Callithrix jacchus: one gene and its partners. The protein of the gene in region 2 interacts with the protein of the main gene of each other region in a pairwise test. Links are inferred from orthologs where the notes say so. Each region holds a gene or a part of one and is shown on either strand. Other genes may lie near its edges.

Region 1 (3,992 bases), on a different chromosome or scaffold from region 2:
GAGAATGTTAAACAAATTCCGTGCCATGGTGGCCAAAGTCTTATTTTTGCTTAAGTTCACGTGCGTGCGCGCGCGGGCACACACACACACACACACACACACAATTAAGAAATCAAGAAGGAAAAAGAAACAAATGACATAAGAATTTAGATGTGACAGCATGGAAGACAGCCAGACACTTAAGCTAATTTGATAGGTTAATAATATATCATGAGGCCAACTGACAAAGAAACATAATTTCCTTCCTTTCTTTGTAAAAATAATGTGACTCCAACCTTGGTGTTTAAGAAAAAATGCAGTAATCTTGGAGGAAAAATCACGTTGAAGCACTAGATAACTAGTAGATAAAGGCTAATGATTTTTTTTTTTTTTTTTTGTAGGCTCTGATGATGACAACCGTGGGCTGGCCATTTATTTAACCCTAAAATCTCTAACAAGTGCCAAATCAGAAATATGCCTATCACCATATTCAGGGAGATAGATTTATACTCCAAACAATTATATATATTGTGAGATCATCATTCTTTTACAGCCCAGGTGCAGATGAATTAGAAGGTGATTTAGCGAAGCTGCCTCTTTTTGTATATGCACATATGCATAAATGACTGGAAAGAGAAACGAAAGAGGGCTCCAGATAAGCAAAGACATTCAGCTAGGTCCGTGCATCCAGCAGCAGTTCTCTGTTGCTATAATCCCGGAAACAGATAAAGCCAATAGCTTGAGACCCCCTGGAAGGCATTACCTCTATATAGGGCACGATCTTGCAGGAGAAGTCCTCCAGCAGCCACTTCTTGGTCAGCTCGTGGAAGATGACCAGCGGAAGGCAGAAGAAGATGATGAGAAAGTCCCAGAAAGCCAGGTTGGCCAAGAGGGAGTTAGAGATGCTCCGCATGTAGTAGTTGTGACACACGATGCACATCACCGCCAGGTTGCCAATGATGCCTGTCCCGAAGATCACCACCGACAGACACATGACCGCGTAGGCTCCGTAGGATTCCTGGGTCAGCGGGTAGAAAGGGTTCTTCAGTCTCACGCGCCGGTTCGTGCTGTTTCCACGGCGGGGACCCCCAGGCTCATAGATTCCGTCACCCAAGGACCCATTCTGGGCCAGCGCCCGGCCCGGGAGTGCAATTATCCGCCCTTCGTGCCCCGCTGGTCCATTGGCCGTCTTGGGTGAGGTCTTGTGGTGGGAACCCTGGAGTTTCCCGACTCTTCGTGGCCAGTAAAAAAGATCGCTGGCTCCGGGCACTGTCTTCACACTCTGCTCCTGGCTGCGCCCGGAAATGCCAGCTCCTCTGGTACCCTTCTCTTCCTCCTCTGAGATCTGAAGGAGGAGCTGGAGGGCCGTGGGGTTCCCTCTCCCCAAAGTTTCAGGAGGCTCCTGGCCCCGAGCACCTTTCCACCTCCAGCCAGGCAGCCTGGTTGGAGGTGCAGGGACTCCGGCAGAAGACGCCTCCGCCCCTCTGCCTACACCGGGGCCACGACCCGGGGCCGCCGGCAGGTCCCAGGAGGGCGCCGCAAGCACAGCCGCCTCCTGCTCCTCCCTGGGTGCACGGGCTCGCAGAACGTCTCCTGCAGAATTGCCCGGTCCCCAGGCGTCCCTGCTGCGGCGCTGGATCACTGTAGGTGAACAGCTCTCCCCCAGACAAGTTTCGTTCCTGGTCGCAGGGGCGAACCCGAGGGCAGAAGAGGCAGACAGCTTGAGCAGTAGCAGAAGCAGCAGCCGCGACACGCGGGCGAGAAGCGCGCCCGAGGCTAGCATGGCTTGGCGAGGACACACCCGGCAGCCGCGGCTCCTGCTTAGGATCGACACCTGCTGCCGAAGTTGCTGCCGAGAGTTAGGCACATGTCACGTACTCACCCCCGCCCGGTAGCGGGGATCGGAGATTACGGGGATCGCGGAGGATGGGTCTTGGGGGTCACACACACGCTCCCTACAATCCTTCCTCGTTCGGCATCTTGTGCATTTCTCAGCCAAGTTCAGTCCCAGCGAAGTGTGCGCTCCAGGGTCTGTAGAAGGAATGGGCTACTCCCGGCGGCTGACCTTGGAAAGTTGCAATCTACACCTGACTGTTGATTAACGTTGCGACTCGGGGAGCCCGGACGAAGCCACAGGCTCCACACTGCCTTTGGGTGGGGTGGTGGCCTTCTTGGTAACAGTTGCTCTGCCTGGTTACATCCTTTCTACACTGCTTTATCCAGTTGCAAGCCGAGGTCTCTAGAGGAAAAGAAAAACAAGTCCCCCTCCCGCAGACGACCGGCAGTCACAACCCCGCTCCCAGCTCGCTGGAAACAGGTTGCAAACCGTCAGAAGCAGCGCTGATGCGCCGGCGAAACTCTCGCCCCACCCAACCCCAGCGACTTGCGAGGCTACTGCTGCCGAGGAGAAGGGGGATTCCAGCCCCGCCGCCACTGCCAAAGTTGCTTCGCCTCCAGCTCTAAGTTGACGACGGGGCGACGCGGGCTGCTGGACAGCGTTTCGCCGCAGAGAAGGGAAACGTGGGGAGAAGTGGGAGAAGAGGGCGCCGCTCGTCGGTGGACGGTGCCGCCGGCCGCGGGAGCTCGTCACTGCCACAGCCGGCGCTGCCCGGGCGGGGAGGGTGGTGCCTGGAACCGCCGCGGGCCAGGCGGTGCGCGGCCGGGTAGGGGAGGTGGCCCGGCCTCTCCCCGCGCTCCAGCCGCTGCGCGCGCCCCCGAAGCCCGACGCTCGGCTCCTGGTCTCCTCCCCGTCCTTCACCTCCTCCTCTGAGAGATACTGGTTTGTGGGGAGACGGGATCCCCTGGTGGTTCACCACTCACTAAACCCACACACGTTTCATTCAGGCCATTTGTAGCGGCTTCCACTCGGAGGAGCTGGGAGGGAACAAGGGCGGAGGCGCGGAGCCTGCGCGGCTTTGAGGCTAGGGATGGGCGGGACAGGTTAATTCCCCAGATGTCGAAACCGGCCAGACAGGTCCCGGAGCCGTGGCTGGGTGCGGGTGCGGGGCGGGAATGGGGAGTGGGGGAAAACGGGAATTCGAGTGGGGTGGGGAAGGGAAGGGAGGAGGGTAGCAGGGGAGAGAGCAGCAGGGTCCCCTCCAATCTGTCGCGGGTGATGCGCATGCCCAAGCTTCAGCTGGGCGGGGGGCGGGGGTGGGGGTGGGGGTGGCGCGGGGAGCAAGAAGGTGAAACCTCACCTTCTCAGGTATTCCCCAGGGTGAGATAGGAGAGAATGGGAGCTCAGAGGTGTCAGTCATAGAGAATTACTAGTTCCAGGATTGGGATGCCGAGGGGGAATGCTCAGGATGCACCATTGCCTTGAACACCTACCATGGGTTACTTCGTAGCATCCACAGCACAGTGGAAGTAGTTGTTTTTCATGAAGTAGTGGGAAATGACTGGAGGCAGAAAATTGCTTGAACAGCACTCCCAGCACGGCTGTCCATGTCTTCCCAACCTTTCTGCTATACTCCACAACCCTGTCAAAACTGTCAGGGTATAGCTAATAAAACAGACAAGTTAATGAAGAGAAAAAGATACAGGAAAAAATAAACACATCCTGAATTTTTTTTAAAGAAACACATTTAGAGAGAAAGGAGAAAATACAATGGAACATGCGATACCAATTGTGATAAATAGAATAATGGGCCCCCACAAAAGAGGTCCAAATCCTAATTCCTAACACCCGTGAGTGTGTTACCTTACAGGGCAAAAGGGATTTTGCCAATAACATTCAGCTAAGGCTCCCGAAATGGGGAGCATATCATGATTACCCAGGTGGGTACATTATAATGACAAGAGCCCTTACAAATGAGAGGCAGGAGGGTAGGAGTAAAAACAGAAACACAAGCCAAGTAATGTGGGCAATCTCTGGAAGCTAGAATGGGCATAAAAAAGTATCTACAAGCCCATTTGAGACTTCTGACTTCCATAACTATAAGATAATAAATGTGTGTTGTTTTAAGCCACTAAATTTGTGGTCATTTGTTGCAGCAGCAATAGTAAACTAATAC
Region 2 (3,500 bases):
AAGCCTATATAAAGGTAAAACCTTCCTTTGTTAGATGAGCTGGGTTTTCGACAAATTACTGCCTGGTCTCCCGGCGGAATAAACTCCTCCCTCCTTTGTTCGGTGTTAGAGAGATCCGTTTCCTGTGGCCGCTCCTGCTACAATAATATTTTCAGGTGCAATATGACAGTTTTGTTTCACGTTCTTACATTATGGCTAATAGGTTGAACCACATGCAATTGTTGAACCTATAAAAATGGCAACCCCATATGGTCCAATCTAATCTTTCTTTTGGTTTTAGGGCTCATAAATAAAGACCCATCTCCATGAAAACAGGGGCTGAGTTTTGTCTCTCTTTTGGATCCCCTGAGAAGCCTAGAACATTGGAAGTGCTTAAGAAGTGTTTGTCAACATAAAGACCCTTAAATCAATACATATCTTATGCACATATGTTTGTAAAGTCAATCCTCTGGGGCAATTAGTCTAACTACATAGGAAATTGCTAATTGTTTTACCAATCAGCACTAAAGGGAGTGTTAGAACCTGAAAGTTCTAGAAACATAAAGTGTTTTGATTCAAGGAACTGTTTTAAAATTATTTATTTGTGAAGGAAACATCCTTGGATTTAGAGGTTGGCAGATATAGTGAAAAGCTTTTTCGTTGACTGAAATCGAAAAAACAAATCAAAACACTTTCTAGCACATGCACTTCCCTTATAAAACCAAACTGTCTGAAAGCAAAGCCCAGCAGTTTGTGCACAATGAGTGCGGGCCTCAGCACCATCAGCAGGAGATGCAATGGAGAATGACAGGGACAATTGCATTTCTATGGCTTCTTTGTATACCCCAATCCTGAGAGCATTTGACAAACCCACAAATATCATTGCCCAGAAGAAACAGGGATAGGAGGAGGCAGACCCAGGGACAGGCTTTGTGTGCCCAAGCCTGCCATGCACAGCAGCGGTCCCCACAAGGCTGTAAACCTGAGTGCAATTAATTGATGCTGGTTAAGAAAAGGGGGACATATGTCTGCTGGGTCCTTAACAGTCACAGAAACCATTCACAGAAAGTGTTTGGTCTTTCTCGCGTTCACAAAAAATAACGTCAACACATGGTGAGTTGTATTTGTGAGTTTCCCCAACAAATGACTGGTCTTCAGTTCTAGGTGATGGTGGTATTATCAATCACCTCACCAGTTCCCCCTAATTCCCACAAAAGTCACCAATCCGAATGAAAAGTGTGTAGACTTCTATGGGGCCAGGAGCAGTGGGCTGCCGGAAGCTCTGCTGGGGCCAGAGAGAAGAGAGCATCATTCACTCCACTACTTTGCAGGGGCCTATTTCCAGGGTCCGTTTCACTGAACCTTGGAGAAATTCAATGCAAAGGTGTACTTTTGTTGTGCTCCAGGCTGCCTTCCCCATGGTGAGATCTGGTCCTGGCCAAGGAGCGCTCAAAGCTAGTTGCCTTGGGGGCCCTGAGCCCACACCTCCTCTAGTGAGCGGAGGAGCAGCCCTCACTATCCTCCAGGGGTCACAATTGGGTTACAAATTCCTCATGGTGCAGGGACTGAGCAGCCTGACTGGGAACAATTTATTCGAACCCTTCTTCATTAAGATTCAAATGGAATAAGTAAGGTAGAAATTGAACAGACACAGAAATTGTGCCTTGCTGCTCCTGTAGTCAGTAAACATTTATTCACTAAGCCTAGCTCGTGTGTTCTTTCTCTCTCTCACACACACACAGTTGTTCTTCAAATCTTTCCTGCTTGCTGTTTTAATGCATAATTAAGAAGGTCAGAATTAATGAAGCAGTGTGGAGTATAGTTCAAGGAATCCCCAGGCACTGTTTATTCTATTAGATCTCAAGCACGAATGTCACATTGGCAGCGCAGGCGGCATGAGCAATGGGGCTGGCAGCGTCCCAGGAACGGCCGCCAAGGGAGACTCACCTGCACAGTCCAGTCATTCCTCAGCTCCTTCCCTGCGAAAATCACACGCAACTGGTCAGCTGGAACCCCCTGTCGCTTAGCAACCACCTCCTTGAGCTGGAAGATGCTGGTGTCAGAATCGACCTCCACTGGGAAACCATGGCTGGAGTTGAACCTGACAAACACTGACCAAGGAAATTGGAAGGGAGAAAAGAAAGTGAGCATCACTCAAAGAGCTTAAATGGCCACAGCAACATGTCCCAACCGACTCACCCCTTGCAGCCCTTCACTGAGTAGCATATATTTTCTCTCACTTACAACAAAAAACTTAATGCTACAGAGCAATATTTGGGAAAACCAGAGTTACCCATGAGATTTCCCTCTCATACATTAGTCAGTGACCTGCAAACCACAACTGCATTCTCCCTTTGACATCCATCCTGGGAAACAGAGACTTGAGCAGAACACTTGCTTGATTGGAATTGAAAGAGTCCCATGAGTTTATTGAAAAAACTTAGCTCTGACAGCTCCTACAAACTCACACTCCCTCCACAGTGACCCTCTTAATAAAAACAGGAGGCAGTGTGTTAGCACTCAAGGAACAGCTATGGAAACATTTCAAGCTGCTCTATAGACCAGAGTGAGGACCCGCTAGGGGCTATGGCTCAGAGCCCTAGTCTTGGAGGGTCCTGGCCAAAATGTTCCAGTGGGTCTATGAAGACAATTATTTGCCCCCTTTTTTTGGGAGGGGGCGGGGACACTAGTGACACCATGCCTTATTGAAACCACTGTTCCCGTGAGAGCCAGGCTGCATCCTCTAGTCTTTCTGCATGCTGTCTTCTCACCACAACTGCTCTCCACCTCTGGAGTCTCGCATCTGCCCTTTCCTTTCCATTCCTTCTCTCACTTCTCTAAGTCACACTCTCATCACATCTTTTCTAGAGTCTCATAGTAGCCCTCAACTGTAGGCTAAATCCACTCCACTTACCTCCATAGAGCCCTACATAATTCTGCAAAATGAGCGTCATTGATACAGAGTTATGTCACACCACTGAAACCCTTTAAGTCTCACGCTGTCAGCTGGTGAGAAAAGAATCCAAGATCCCTTTCATCTAGCACAAACCTATATTCCAGCATTTTCTTCATTACTCTCTAAGTATACTCTGTTAAACTAAATGCTCCCAGAAGAAAAATCACAGAAAGCTGCTGCAGCCAACTTCTCGCTTTTATTCATGACCTCCCTCCTCCTCCTCTTCCTGTTGAAATCCTGCCTACCCCCTGAATGCCTACTTCAAATGTGACCTCCTCCAAGAAGCCTCTGGCTATCAGCTCCTGCAAAAAACCTGATCTTGCCTATTCAGGGCACCAGTGGCATTTACTATGTACGTCTTATAATATTCACCAGATTCCTCGTGGAAGCAGGATAGCACAGGGGTTAAAAGTGCATCCTGCACTGATAGGAAGACCCATGCAAAAATCCCCGCAGGCTCCTTTAATTGGCTTACGAGGCTAGGGGTAAATCCATCAACCTTCCCTCTTTAGGTCTCAGTTCCCTTATCTTGAAAACATAAACCACAGCCCATTATTTGACTCAT
Region 3 (3,500 bases), on a different chromosome or scaffold from region 2:
AAGACCGTGCCACTGTACTCCATCCTGGGCAACAGAGCGAGACTCCGTCCCACAAAAAAAAAAAAAAAGAAAAAGAAAAAGGACAAGTCATAAAAACCAAAGATAATAGGAAGAAGAAATGTAACAGTTCTAATTTCAGTTGTTGCCATTACCACTATGCCTAAGCTTAAACAGCATAAAATAGAAAATACCCTACAGAGTACTCCCTGTATTCCCCAACTCAGATCAGTTTACCTTATATTTTTCTTTGGCTTTCTCTTTTCCAAGGAGTTTAAGAACTTTATCGGCTAACAGCATGCTTTGTTGATTTTGGAACCCTTCTAATATACACACAGCAGTGACATCTAGAATGATGAAAAACACACAAGTAAATATAAAATTATTGCAAAGACGGTCAGCAGCATCAAATGGGTACAATGTAACTACAGAAAGCCAAACTGAATTTCTGGCCTAATGGGACGGTTTCATTTCCAATTAATTGATTCTTAACACCTACTTTTATATTCTCTATGACCAAACTGAAAGCTCAGAAAGTCACTCCTCTTCTCTGGGGTCTGCTTTCCTTACCTGTGAAATTAAAGGGGCTATGCTGCATGATTTCTGATGTTCCTCACCACTCTAACATTCTATATATAGCAAAGAAAACAAGGAATCCAGGAATTCTCTTCTGGCTAACAACTCTAAGGCATATCAAAATAGTGTGGCTCTCTCATGCCTGGTGTTTTTATAGGCCTCAGAGTTATTCCTTGTCTCCAAAGCCATCTTCCCACAAAGCTCTCAAATCTGCCCCAATACCATTTTTATCTGGTTATGTCACAGCTCAAGATGCATGCAGTGGTTTGAAATTAAAAAGATAAACAGTTCCTTAACCTCTCAACCTTTCATTCAAAGCACTCAAACAATGACCATCCCTTCTAAAACATCCTCACATTGGTATTCCACACTTTTTAAATTTTTTTTAGAAAGGGGCTTTTTCCTTTTAAAATATAATGTAATTTTTAAAAATAAGAATAATAATAGCTAAATCTTACTGATGCTTTTAAAGTAGACTTAAATATGAAGTGGGAAGAACTTTTAGACTATAGAAAATTATACTTTGGTTTTGTTTCATATCACCTAGAAGAATGTATTTTAAAGGCCAGGGGTATACTCTAATTGCAGCTTTGGAAGCAAATATATGGGCATTCAGAGGCCACAGAATATTTATGGCATTTCCTGAGAATGTCAAAATCATTTTGATGCTTTGTACCAATCTACATCATTTCCAATTAGGTGTAAATTAGGTATAAAACAGTAATTTCCAATTGGGTATTAAATAATGTTTGAAAACACCAAGGGCCAAAAACGATGTTTCTTAATGATTTATCTCAAAGCTATTTCACATATTTATACATATTAAGTGAAATATGTAGAATCTTAGAAACACTATCACTTGCTAAAACATCTTTTCTGAATTCCTTATTCAGAGAATTATACTAACACTCATTAGTTGCTAAGTTTAAAATGTGTAGTATATAAACTCCAAATCTTAATACTCATTTAATTCCACAGTTGAGAACAAGACAATACTTAAATATCAGCAATCTTAATTTACACTAGAAGACAAAGTCTTAATTGCAAAAGAGTGCACCTTTGAAAAACAACTGATTCAAAAAAAAAAAAAAAAACTGATTCTTGTACTCAGAAGGCAGTTTCATATACATTTACCAATGACTACAAAATCTCAAGCAATTTTCATAGGTAAACACAAAATTACCCTCACCTTCTAAACATTCCTTCTTATTGTCTAGCTTCTCATGGGCTTTTGCACGTCTAAAGAGAGCTTTCACATATTTGGGATTAAGTTCAACAGCCTTTGTACAATCTTGTGCCACCTCTTTCCATTTTTGCTGTAATTGAAAGTATTTTTAAAAAGTCACACTAAAGGAAGCACTGTTCAATAGAAATCAGTTTAAATGTAGTAGGCTAAAAGTCCTAAAATTAAAAAAGTGTTCCTAATACAAAGAGTTAATATCTGCCATATATTACAAAACTCATATAAATATCAAAAAGTTAAAGAAATAGCCTCAAACTGTTGAGGAGACTAGGGTCACCAGAAACTTTAATTTTCTATACTATCTAATTTTATAAAATCTGAAATATACTTAACTTTGGCGTTTATCTGTAGTCAGCAAAACTACAGAATTTATTCTTAAGTTTTGCAATTAATGGAAATAAAAACAATATCCCATAATTTTGAAACAACTTCCAAAAACTATATTAGGTTTATTTGAGTAGCATTAACTGAAACTTCAAGCAAATAAAAAGATACAAATGCAACAGAAGAAACAACCTAGGGTACACACCAACTGTTCAAAGGCAGCAGCTCTGTTTTGATAAAATGTAGAAAGGTCAACATTCTTCTCTGTAGGGCACAAGCTAATAGCCTCAGTATAGCACTGAATAGCTTGTTCATATTTTCCAGCTTTAAAATACTTATTGCCTTTGTTCTTGGCTGCTTGGGCTCTATCAAGAGAGTTCTGAAATGAGAGAAAACAATTATCAAACACTAATCAACATTCAGACTCAGACCACAATAATTAAACAATAAACTGATAACAGCAGGACAGAATGGCTGTTTACAATGTAAGTTGCTTCATACCAATATCTTCATGAAATAGATTCCTACTAGTAGGATTGTTGAGTCAAAAAGCGTATCTTGGCCAGGTGTGGTGGCTCATGCCTATAATCCCAGCACTTTGGGAGGCTGAGGTGGGTGGATCACTTGAGGCCAGGAGTTTGAGACCAGGCTGGCCAACATGGTGGAACCCCCTCTCTACTAAAAATACAAAAAATAGCTGTGTATGGTGGCACATGCCTATAGTCCCAGCTACTTGGGTAGCTGAGGCATGAGAATTGCTTAACCCAGGGGCAGAGGCTGAGGTGAGCTGACATCACACCACTGCCCTCCAGCCTAGGTGAGAGAGTGAGACTCTGGTCTTACAAAAAAAAAAAAAAAAAAAAAAAGCACAAGATGTCTTGCTATATTGCCCAGGCTACTCACAAATTCCTGGGCTCAAGCAATCCCCCTACCTCCATGTTCCAGGCAGATGAGATTACAGGTACACACCACCATGCCAGGATAAAAGGTGTGTGTGTGTGTGTTTTAATTTAGACAGGGTCTCTCTCTCTCTGTCGCCCAAGTTGGAGTACAGTGGCACAATCTTGGCTCGCTGCTACCTCCACCTCCTGGGTTCAAGTGATTCTCCTGCCTCAGCCTCCCAAGTAGCTAGGGTTATCAACACACCTGGCTAACTTTATTATTTTTAGTAGAGATGGGGTTTTGCCATGTTGCCCAGGATGGAGGATTATATATTTTTAATTTCAAAAAACACTCAGACTTTTCCAAAAAGGCTGTAGCACTTTAAGGTTTTTAAAAGATTTATTGTGCAAAGGATTTCTAGGGAGATCTATTTAAGTTCAGAATATTACATAGCTACTTTAAGCTAGCTAGTGTCAAC
Region 4 (2,382 bases), on a different chromosome or scaffold from region 2:
TACTTAAAATTTAACATATCCAGAAAAAACATTTCAACTCCAACCTCCCTACCACCAAATTGTTTCCTAACTTGGAGATGAAAGATACCATGATCCACCTAGTTACCCAGGCTGAGAGATCACTGAGAAGGAGATCCTCTGAAATATTGTTTAAGTACCTGAATTTTTCACTTCATTCCACAGCTAAAGTAGGGTTTCCAATTTCCATTTTGGTTAATACTTTGTCAGACCGTGATCCAAATTTTTAACTGCCCAAAGTCATGAGAAGGACCTGTAATTCTTTTTCTTTTTTTTTTTGAGAGTCTTGCTCTGTCACTTAGGCTGGAGTGCAGTGGTGCAATTTTGGCTCACTGCAACCTTCGTCTCCTGGGTTCAAGTGATTCTCCCCACTTCAGCCTCCTGAGTAGCTGGAATTACAGGCACCTGCCACCACACTCAGCTAATTAGACAGGGTCTCACCATGTTGGCCAGGCTGGTCTTGAACTCCTGACCTCAAGTGATCCACCCACCTCGGCCTCCCAAAGTGCTGGGATTACAGGTGTGACCCACTGCACCCAGCTGGGTCTGTAATTTTTCTAAAGCAGTTACAAAAAGAATACCTTATACCTTTTATTCCATATGTATTTAGTGCCTTTATTTAATATTCTGAAATTTTTCAAAAGAGAATATTTAGATCCTCTTGCTAGAATTTCTAAACTGAGACTAATCCTGGAAAGAGACTTGTGTGAAAGAATAAGGAGCAGCTTTTTTGACATTGTCTTCCTGCTGAAAACTGCCCTCTCTTTGGAAGTGAGCATCGAGCTATCCTCCCTAAATCTTTATTCAGTGTTTCCCAGGGATCTCTGTGTGCTATCTTCGTACTTAATGGTTTGCTGTTTCACATATCTTGGCTTCACCTTAATTTTAAGTTGTTATTCCTACAATGGTCAATAAGATGAATAAGCACATGGTAGGTGATCAACAGATACCTTAGTGAATGAATGAACCACATGTAGAAAACATGTTCTGCATCCTGAACTAACTTGAAAAAGATACCATATAATACAAATACCCTTTCCAAACACTTAAACCCAATTTTCCTCATGATGTAACCTGATACATGACAGTAAGTAGTATGAAAACATTACTAGTTTAGAAATTAGGGGACCGGGCTTCTCATCTACATGCCAACACCATCTAAATATGAAATAGTGAGTTAATCTTTCTGGGTCTTAAGTTTCTTGATCCATAAAATTATGAGTAAGAGTACAAGCTATTTAAAGTTGTGAAAGCTCTAAAAATGTGGATAATAAAAATTCTGCATCCTAAGCAAATGTCTAGAGGGAAGACAGAGTACAGACCACATGAACTATAACTCCACCGCTCTCAAGTACCTGAAATAAGGCTTGTCAGGAGACATCGTAATCTGTAAGACTTCACTCGTCATATCCAATTCAGAAAATGCTTCACGGAGTCCCTCTGACTGCAGAATAATTTTATTAATAACATTGGTGCTGCAGAAGTCAAAGTCCAGGGTCTCCTCAGGTTCCTGCGTATTGATTTTGCAGACTGTTACCACCCCTCCTTCTTCTAGGAACAGCATCAAAGGGTAACCATCACCTTGGTAACACATCCGAAGAGCAGTTAAAGTCCCTGCAATGGAAAGAAATCATACTTGGCCTTAGCTTTATAGCTCTGGGTTCAGCTTCTCCTCAAAATGATATAAAATTTCTCAAGAATAATTCATTCCACCAAATTTCTCGCATATACGTATCTCCTCATAAAAAGGGATTATATCTTCCCTGATGACAGTTGTATGTAGACAATTCCAAACATACAAGAAAATTGGGAACCAGAACAAAATGTAACGTAACTCTCTGGTATCATTTTCAGGTTGTCATAAATACCTCAGAAATAGCTTGATTTTATATACATAAATTTCAGGATAGAGAATCTACATGGATCAACACAGCAAGTAACCAAATTGCCGCAGAACACAGTATGCTATTTCTTGAAGGTTCAATGTGTGTAACAGTGGACTGCTATGTGTACTGTAATGTCAGTGTATTCACTCTTATAAGGATCCTTCCAACTTTTCCAACTCAGATATTCTTTATATTTTTTCAAATTTCAAAATTAAATTGAGACAAAAAGAGGGTTGTTAATAGTGGTGTAAATTCTAACACTGCAAACCATTAGGGGAAGGAGGAATGTGATAGGATATTCAAATTCCTCCTTACTGCATGGAGAGCCACAGTGAGGAATGGAAGATGACAGATTCTTTCATGAAAAACCAGCTGGAGAACACGGTATTAGAAAATGTATAGTTAGTTAATAACAGTGGAATTGTCAGTAGAAAATTAAAATACATTTTTCTGGAGAACTATATTGGAGAACTATATT
Region 5 (4,290 bases), on a different chromosome or scaffold from region 2:
ATCATCTTACATTCCCGCTTTCAGAGTGAGGCATCACGTTCAGACCCCCTATTCCCTTCTTGTGTTCTACACACAGTGAGGGAAGCTGTTCTGATACCAGCTTCTTCTAGACAGTTACTGGCTTCCTGATTCACTACCCAACTTTGAATCAATAGTTCTGAGTGATGTTTCCCCAACACTCAGGCTGAATTCAAGGTCAGTCTTTCCCCTTAGGAAAAAGAATGAAATGTCCTCCATTTTCAGGCTCTCTTTCACATTTCATGTAGCATGAGGCTCTGTGGCAATTTGTGGCTTTTTACACAAATCCTGGTAGAATTCCGACTCCAAGAAACGGGGGTAAGAGTTGTTCTCCATCAAGCTGTATACCCTCTTCTGGGCGGTTGTAAAGCAGCCACTTGTGGCGTCTTGTATATTCTGGGCAATCAGAGTTTTGGTTTGAAAATCTATGTTTATCTGAAATAAAACAAAAAACATGGTTTATTTGGTATTCAGAGTTAAAGAGTAAAATCTAATATTTGTAAACAAAAAAATAATTATGATGTGTGATTAGCTTTACTCGCAAGTCACGGGAAACTTCTGACATAACTGAAAGCTACAATGTGGGAGGGCTTTTGCCCTCCTTCTAGCCCCACTTTGTCCTGGATTCTTTTGTTTCACTTTTGTGCTAAAAATGTCCTGACTGTGCTGAAATTAGGAACTTTTTGTCTTACCTCTTTTGGAGCTTCCTTTTCTATAAAGTCAGTATATATTTTCCTTGCTTTTGAGGACAACTTTTGGGGTGATTTGGTTTTTTTGAAGTCTTCACAGGCCAGCCAGAATTCAATATTTTCTTCACAGAATTCAGACTTTAAAAAGGCCCTGAATGCAGCAAGACCATCTGAAGAGGGGAGAAAAGAAAGCATGCAGAATGTTAAGAACTGAGTGACCGAATGATTCCTTATGTTCCCCCTAGTACTTCTACCTCAAATTTTAATTATTTCTAAATGACAGTAATTTTCTAGATTTTGCTCAAACCTGCAATTCTCAAAATTTAGCTTTTTAATGACTAAGATGCAGTAGGTAAAATGCTTATGTTGGCACTCTGCTGCAAAAATATAAGTACTTAACTTTGCTGTCAATGCAAAATAAATATTTATAGGGGAGCCATAAGTTCTCTGGGAACTAAGCCTCTTGAAAACATTGTATGCAATGGAAAAACTGACTTGAACTTAACTATAAGCAACTGCCACTTTAATTTTTTTTGGCTATTTTTCTTCCCCACTTGGAGGGAATACATGCATTTATTTCCATTTTAAACCCTGGGAAATAAAGGAGAGAAAAATAGGCTTTATCCTATAGTGACTGCACAATCTAATTCCCTCAGGCAAGCTGCTCTTTTGCAGCATGAACACAGCCTTTCCAGGCTTTTGTGATAATAGCAATGGCTCAAGTTCAAGAATTAACTTACATTTGCTGGCCAGCAGCTCATCAAATGCTTCTGACCACAGCTGTGCTTCCTCAGGAGATGGCCTGAAAGACAAGTTTTGCATGTTAGCTTACGCACATCAGAGTTCCCCTTTTCAGTTCAGCAACTAACTATTCATACTTGCAACTACGGGATTCTCAACTTACTTGGTGAAAGCTTGCTGTTTGCTTTTTTTGCCGGTTTTGGGCTTCCCAGGAGTAGAGGAATTTTGCAAGAAGTAGCTTAAACGGGTCTTCCAATCTTTTAAACTAAAACAACAGAAAAAAATTTTTTAAAAAACATAATCACTAAGTACCAACACTTCAATATGCTTCTGCAGCTGAACGCATTTTTACCAAATAAAGGCACCCAGTAACTAGAGACAAACCGCATAAGGTAAAGCAAGAACTCTTCAAATAACAGTCTTACCACCCACTTAACATTTAAACTCATGTACTGAACAGTTTCATCCATTAATCTGATCGTATCTACTACTTTTACAGCTAAGGGCAGGGCTACCTAGAATCACTAGGAGTATTTTAAAGAATTGTTAATGAATTTAGTTCAAAAGGCAGATACTATTTCAAAAGGATACCAGTTTGTTTGCAAGGTTAACTACAATTCCGAGACGTTTCGCAGTTAATGAAAAGGGCAGACGTGGAACTGTCTGGAGCCAGCCCATGCTTCTGTCTTTAGAGCAGGAGGTTCCTGACCGTGCCAGAGTGTGTACAAAGAGGTGGGTGGGCGACTGATTCCCCTGCACTCTCCCTTCCCCACCTGCAACCCTTCATTTAAGCAGACGCTGCACAATTATTTGTTCCACATTCGTGACTGGGTGAGATCTGCTCTATAATTAAAAAACAAAAATGGATTTTAAACGAGTATATTCAGAACCGGCAAGAGCATCTCCTTCCAGCAGCTGTGTAAAGCGGACCAGCCGCAGGATTCTGATGTCATTTTCAATGCGGGAGGACAAACAGCCAACCCACAATTTCTTAGCGCATCCACCACCGCCCTCCTATCAACTACGTCCCTCGGCTCCTACACTACCCGAGCGTCACCCAGATTTAACGTTACTTAACAAATTGAGCTTTTCGACTTTTTTTTTTTTCCCTGCAGAGGGTCAGGCTAGCTTCCTAAGATCAAAGCCGAGCCGGAAAGCACCGCGTTTGCAGCTCGCGGTGGGTGGCGCGAGAGGGAAGAAAGCCATACTCACAGGGTCCGCTTCATCTTTTCCCGCTTCTCCTCGCTCTTGTGGCCGCTGCCTGGGCTCTTGTCCATGGGTCTGCAGTCGTGTTGAACAGCCAAGAACATAGCACTTTGCATCCTCGTCCTCCCGCTGCTCCGCGGCTGTGTGAGGCCGGCGGGCGCCGCAGTATTTAATAAGAGGCTGCGGCTTGGGGGCGGGGCCTCGCCGCTCCGGCCCCGCCTCAAGAGGACGCGGATTGGCCGGCGGCAGACGCGCGCGGGGATGGGGTCAGCGCCCGCCGGCCGCAGTCACGGCCTCTGCCGAAGGGTCTCGAAGCCAGGGAGCTGCTGACGAGTGCGGCCCCGGCTTCTTGCGCACTCGGGTCACACCGCAGGGCCGGCTGGGGCCGGTGTGGGAGCGAACAGAGACTTTCCAGTGTGGAGAGGTTGCCCCCGACCTTTTGCCGAGGTGTGGCGGCCGGCGGGCTGCGGGCTTTGCGGCGGAGGGGAGCGGAAGTTGGCTGCGGCGCGGCGGGGGGCGCTCCCTCAGCCTCCCTGACCGGCTCCCCGGCCTCGCGCTTCCCTGGCGGGAGCAGGTCGCCCGCCGCGAGGCCGGAGTGCGCTCGCCTGGTTTTGAATGCAGAGTGGGATTTTCTCGTTTTTGTGAGCGCGCCGTCCTGCTGCAGGGACTCGCTCGACACGCCCCGGTCTGTGAACCGAGGCTGCGAGGAGACGCTCGCCCGCTTCTCCCCGCCATTAATTTGAGGAACGGGGTGTCCTGAAACGTGGGCTGCCCAGGGGCGGGCGGTGCGGCCTCCTCTGCAGCTTTCGGGGCGTCTCGAACACTTTGGGGATGAACGTCAGTCGGGGATTGAACGAGGGAAAACGACTGTCTCAGAAGACGGCGCGTTGGGTTTGCGTTTGCTGTCAGTGCTGGGCACGGGCTGGGTCTGCCTGCCCGGTCCGTCCTCGGGAGCCCTCGGGCGCATCTGCAGGCGAAATAGAATCCCAGACTTCCTAGGGTGGGAGAGGAGGCTGGAGACGCGGTTCTCAGCCTAACGCCCCAGGGCCAGCGAGGTCAAGGACTCACATTTCCTCACCAGTCATTCTGGGTTGAGTTGGGATTCACCAGAACTTTTAATAACTGGCAAAAAAGGAGTTAACAGTTTCCCTGAGTAAGTTTGATTCTTCAGGTGTCATCTTTAGTCCTGGAGTGTTTACAGCGACTCGATTGGTAAAGACAAGACAGATAACCTCGACCACAAAAATGAGTTGATTTCGGATAATATTGCCAGAACTAGCCAGTGACATGTTTAAGCGGCTTTGCCACCAAGCTGTAGATATTCTATTTGTATAGACTTGTTTAAAACGAAACTGGGGGCTGCGTGTAGTCACGCCTGTGATCCCAGCACTTTGGGAGGCCAGGCGGGCAAATCGTGAGGTCAAGAGGTCGGGACCATCCTGGCCAACATGGTGAAATCCTCGTCTCTACTAAAAATACAAAAATTAGCCGGGCGTGGTGCCACTTGCCTGTAATCCCAGGTACTCGGGAGGCTGAGGCAGGAGAATCACTTGAACCTAGGAGGAGGAAGTGGCAGTGAGCTGAGACCGTGCCACTGCACTCCAGCCTGGGAAGCAGAGCGAGACTCTATTTCCAA
Region 6 (3,500 bases), on a different chromosome or scaffold from region 2:
CTGAATTTGAAGTCTCCAAAGCTCCTTTTAGAGAAGTCGTCAAGTCTGATAAGAGTCCAAGATCTGACGTATCGGATGCATAAGCCTGATGCATTCTCTGTGTTTCAGTTAGGTCTGTTAGTTAATTATAGACTGCCCTTTACTACTTCATAGCAGAAGGGCTGATAGCAAAAATACCCCATTTCTCAATTCCTCTTTCTCCTGCAAACCTTGCCTCATTCACCCCACCTTTGTTTCTTGGCTTATTACAGACCTCTAGACCTTGAGCTCAGTCAAAGAGCAGAGATATAAGAGGTAAAAACAAAAGATGGCAATGATGAAAACATGAGGTTTTATAAGTGCAGAGGTGGGGAGTGGGAGAAATTCTCCAGAGAAGCCCAGTTAAAAAAAAAGCCAATTTCAGGTAATCAGCAAATACAATTCGGCACAAAACACAATTTTTATGGATTAAAATCTGCAACTTGATATTGGCAGTTAGGCTAATTTCTTCAGTTTGTATTAGACATGCAAGTATATGGTTACATTGTTATATAAAGATTTATAGGGGTCTTTCCCTCTCTTTTGTCCCCATCAAAAAAAAAAGAGGCCAGGTGCGGTGGCTCACACCTGTAATCCCAGTCCTCTGGGAGGCTGAGGCAGGTGGATCACCTGAGGTCTGGAGTTCAAGACTAGCCTGGCCAATATGATGAAAACCCATCTCTACTAAAAATACAAAAAATTAGCCAGGCGTGGTGTCGGGTGCCTGTAGTCCCAGCTACTTGGGAGGCTGAGGCAGGAGAATCACTTGAACCCAGGAGGTGGAGGTTTCAGTGAGCCAAGATTGTGCCATTGCACTGCAGCCTGGGCAACAAGAGCGAAACTCCATCTCAAAAGAAAGAAAGAAAGAAACAAACAAACAAAGAAATTCTGATGCCTTATGCCTTGCAGAGGAGAAAAAGCCATCATTGCTAAGAACTGATCTGCAGCTGTGGTCATGTAGGGTGTTCTTTGTGGAGTGTGTTTTGTAAGAAATTTTCCTCTACAACTAAAATGAGGTTTTGAGTCCACTTCTCTGTCATCTCTTTCCCCGCCACATCCCTCCCCAGCCTGGCCCCAGGGGGGCGGTTAGAGGAGAGAAGAACAGGATTAGTACTCGCTCAGACTGTGCCACTTGGCCACAGGCTTGCGGGGGCTCTCGCAGACCTCTCTCCAGTGTTCCGCACCACTGGCCGTGACACTGTGTGCCCCCAGGATCAGCCTCCCCACCACCTCGTTCTTAGTAGTGCGATCGAAGTCGATGACGAGGAACTCGATGCTGATATCAGGCAGGAGGTCAGTGGGGATGTCATAGATGAAAGATTCGTTGAAGACGGGGTTCAAAGTGCACTTCTTCACGTGGGTTTTCTTCTTGGCGATGCGCTTTCTGCCGTAGTAGACGTTCACCTTGACGTAAGGATCTGGGGCCCCCAAGGAGATAAGAAAAAGGGAGAGAGGCCTATGACACAGTCCTCCCTTAGGTAACGGTAATTTCATGTTGGAAAGGGGGAGCTCTGTTGTGCGTATCTTTGATGACCACCCCGTGTGTTCTTCAGGGATTGCACACTGATTGTATGTGAGTCTGCCTGCCTGGATGAGAGACCAAGGAAACCCAGCAAGATTAGAACAGACCAACTTTCTCAAGTCAGATCTGAAGAAATCCCATGGTACCAAGAGTATTTTAAAGGGCACAGCGATAAATGCCTGCAGCCTTTTTGAGAAGTTTCACTTAGCACCTGGCATGCATATTATTTAGTATACCTTGCCAAATGTAAAGACCCCATTTGTTCAACTGAAGAAACTTCCAAGCTAGGAAGTCTACTGGACATGGACATTCATCAGGAAGAGAATGTCAACAGAAAGAGAAGCAGATTAAAAGAGGTGAGGATCTTGAAGTGTGGAGGTCTATCTGGGCCACAGGCAACGAGTGGGGGGTGGTTCAGACAGTAAGAAATAGGTTGAAGTAAATAGCTGCTACCTGAGAGACCGGTGATATCCATCTTCGGCAAGTGCCTGGCTTTGAGGACCACCACTGTCATTCTCTGTGCCACAGGCTGATATGACAGAGACACCTGGAGCTCCCCCCTGCTGATGCACTTCTGTGAGGAAGAAATGGCAGGTGAGAATCCTGGCAGAGGGTGCAGAGAAGAGCACAAAAAGCATGCAGAGCAGTGGGAAGAGAGTCTGGGGGAGGACAAGTGCAGGGATGAGAAATCTGTTGGAAAGATGCTCATCCCCTGGAAAGGTGTTATTATTTTATTTAACAGAGAGGGAGAAAGGAAACATTATAACCATAATTCTGATATTAAACAATTTGCATGGAGAGCCAGAACAGCCTTGGATTTATGAGCATGACCTCTGGACCTAGTCTAACCTGGATTCAAATCCTATTTCTTTTTTCTTTTTTTTGAGAAAGGGTCTCACTCTGTTGCCCAGGCTGGAGTTCAGCGGCATGATCTTGGCTCACTGCAGCCTCCATCTCCTGGGCTCTAGCAATCCTCCCACCTCAGCCTCCCAAGTAGCTGCGACTACAGGTGTGTGCCACCACGCCTGGCTAATTTTTTTTTTTCTATAGAGAGAGTCTCACTATGTAACCCAGGCTGATTTTGAATTCCTGGTCTCAAGTGATTCTCCCACCTCAGCCTCCCAAAATGCTGGGATTACAGGCATGAACCACTGTGCCCAGTGCTATTTCTTATCTGTGACCTTGGACAAGTTATTCAACATCTCTGTACTTCAGTTTCCTCATTTATAAAATGAGAGTGAAAAGTAGTACCTACCACACAGCATTATTAGAATGATTAAATAAGTTAAAATCTGTAAACTGCAATGGTGCCCAGCACGTAGCGTGCACTACGGAAGTCCATTCTCTCATTTAGGTCTTATCCTTTAAAAAGTTCTGAAGACTGTACGGTGGGAGGTAGGAAAATGGGGTCTGAGTTTTAACCTTGACGCTTCCTCACCATGTGGCCTCAGGCAAGTCCCTGAACTTTCTGGAGCCTGTCCCTCCATTTCACAAGGTGAATATCCACACCTGCTTTGCCCACCCCAATGTACACTCCAGTGTATCATCTCCAGCCAAGTCAGCTTCCTCCCCAGCGCCCTGATCTTTGTTTCTCCATCTTTAAATGTGATGCTAGAATCCATTTAGAGCTTGGAAAAAACCTCTAGTCCTCCAAAAACACTTTGTTTGTTTTGAGACAGAGTCTTGCTCTTGTTGCCCAGGCTGGAGTGCAGGGTGCAATCTCGGCTCACTGCAACCTCCACCTCCCTGGTTCAAACACATCTCCTGCCTCAGCCTCCCAAGTAGCTGAGATTACAGGTGCCCACCATCACACCTGGATCATTTTTGTATTCTTGGTAGAGCTAGGGTTTCACCATGTTGGCCAGGCTGGTCTCAAACTCCCGACCTCAAGTGATTTGCCCGCCTCGGCCTCCCAGAGTGCTGGGATTGCAGGTGTGAGCCACTGCCCCTGGCTCCTCCA

What was found.
Region 1: the proteins of PRKN (region 2) and GPR37 interact in a two-hybrid assay, tested with the Homo sapiens proteins (2 studies listed by BioGRID). The link is inferred for Callithrix jacchus from reciprocal best matches to the Homo sapiens genes PRKN and GPR37.
Region 3: the proteins of PRKN (region 2) and TOMM70 come close enough for resonance energy transfer, tested with the Homo sapiens proteins (3 studies listed by BioGRID). The link is inferred for Callithrix jacchus from reciprocal best matches to the Homo sapiens genes PRKN and TOMM70.
Region 4: the proteins of PRKN (region 2) and RAD1 interact in binary tests that used the Homo sapiens proteins (3 or more experiments, as listed by UniProt). The link is inferred for Callithrix jacchus from reciprocal best matches to the Homo sapiens genes PRKN and RAD1.
Region 5: the proteins of PRKN (region 2) and RGS2 interact in binary tests that used the Homo sapiens proteins (3 or more experiments, as listed by UniProt). The link is inferred for Callithrix jacchus from reciprocal best matches to the Homo sapiens genes PRKN and RGS2.
Region 6: the proteins of PRKN (region 2) and SYT11 interact in binary tests that used the Homo sapiens proteins (3 or more experiments, as listed by UniProt). The link is inferred for Callithrix jacchus from reciprocal best matches to the Homo sapiens genes PRKN and SYT11.

The regions. Positions count from the first base shown.
Region 1 is NC_133512.1:122,301,714-122,305,705, reverse strand, and holds the start of GPR37 (prosaposin receptor GPR37), read right to left. Parts: upstream 2,801-3,992; 5' UTR 1,763-2,800; coding exon 743-1,762; intron 1-742.
Region 2 is NC_133505.1:168,973,867-168,977,366, forward strand, and holds part of PRKN (E3 ubiquitin-protein ligase parkin), read right to left. Parts: intron 2,091-3,500; coding exon 1,927-2,090; intron 1-1,926. UniProt on the Homo sapiens protein: Functions within a multiprotein E3 ubiquitin ligase complex, catalyzing the covalent attachment of ubiquitin moieties onto substrate proteins. Substrates include SYT11 and VDAC1.
Region 3 is NC_133516.1:91,552,525-91,556,024, forward strand, and holds part of TOMM70 (mitochondrial import receptor subunit TOM70), read right to left. Parts: intron 2,520-3,500; coding exon 2,346-2,519; intron 1,890-2,345; coding exon 1,763-1,889; intron 345-1,762; coding exon 235-344; intron 1-234. UniProt on the Homo sapiens protein: Acts as a receptor of the preprotein translocase complex of the outer mitochondrial membrane (TOM complex). Recognizes and mediates the translocation of mitochondrial preproteins from the cytosol into the mitochondria in a chaperone dependent manner.
Region 4 is NC_133503.1:170,715,773-170,718,154, reverse strand, and holds part of RAD1 (cell cycle checkpoint protein RAD1), read right to left. Parts: intron 1,633-2,382; coding exon 1,374-1,632; intron 1-1,373. UniProt on the Homo sapiens protein: Component of the 9-1-1 cell-cycle checkpoint response complex that plays a major role in DNA repair. The 9-1-1 complex is recruited to DNA lesion upon damage by the RAD17-replication factor C (RFC) clamp loader complex.
Region 5 is NC_133519.1:49,997,682-50,001,971, reverse strand, and holds the start of RGS2 (regulator of G-protein signaling 2), read right to left. Parts: upstream 2,801-4,290; 5' UTR 2,771-2,800; coding exon 2,661-2,770; intron 1,714-2,660; coding exon 1,612-1,713; intron 1,510-1,611; coding exon 1,448-1,509; intron 878-1,447; coding exon 711-877; intron 454-710; coding exon 259-453; 3' UTR 1-258. UniProt on the Homo sapiens protein: Regulates G protein-coupled receptor signaling cascades. Inhibits signal transduction by increasing the GTPase activity of G protein alpha subunits, thereby driving them into their inactive GDP-bound form.
Region 6 is NC_133519.1:16,246,295-16,249,794, reverse strand, and holds part of SYT11 (synaptotagmin-11), read right to left. Parts: intron 2,115-3,500; coding exon 1,991-2,114; intron 1,437-1,990; coding exon 1,126-1,436; 3' UTR 1-1,125. UniProt on the Homo sapiens protein: Synaptotagmin family member involved in vesicular and membrane trafficking which does not bind Ca(2+). Inhibits clathrin-mediated and bulk endocytosis, functions to ensure precision in vesicle retrieval.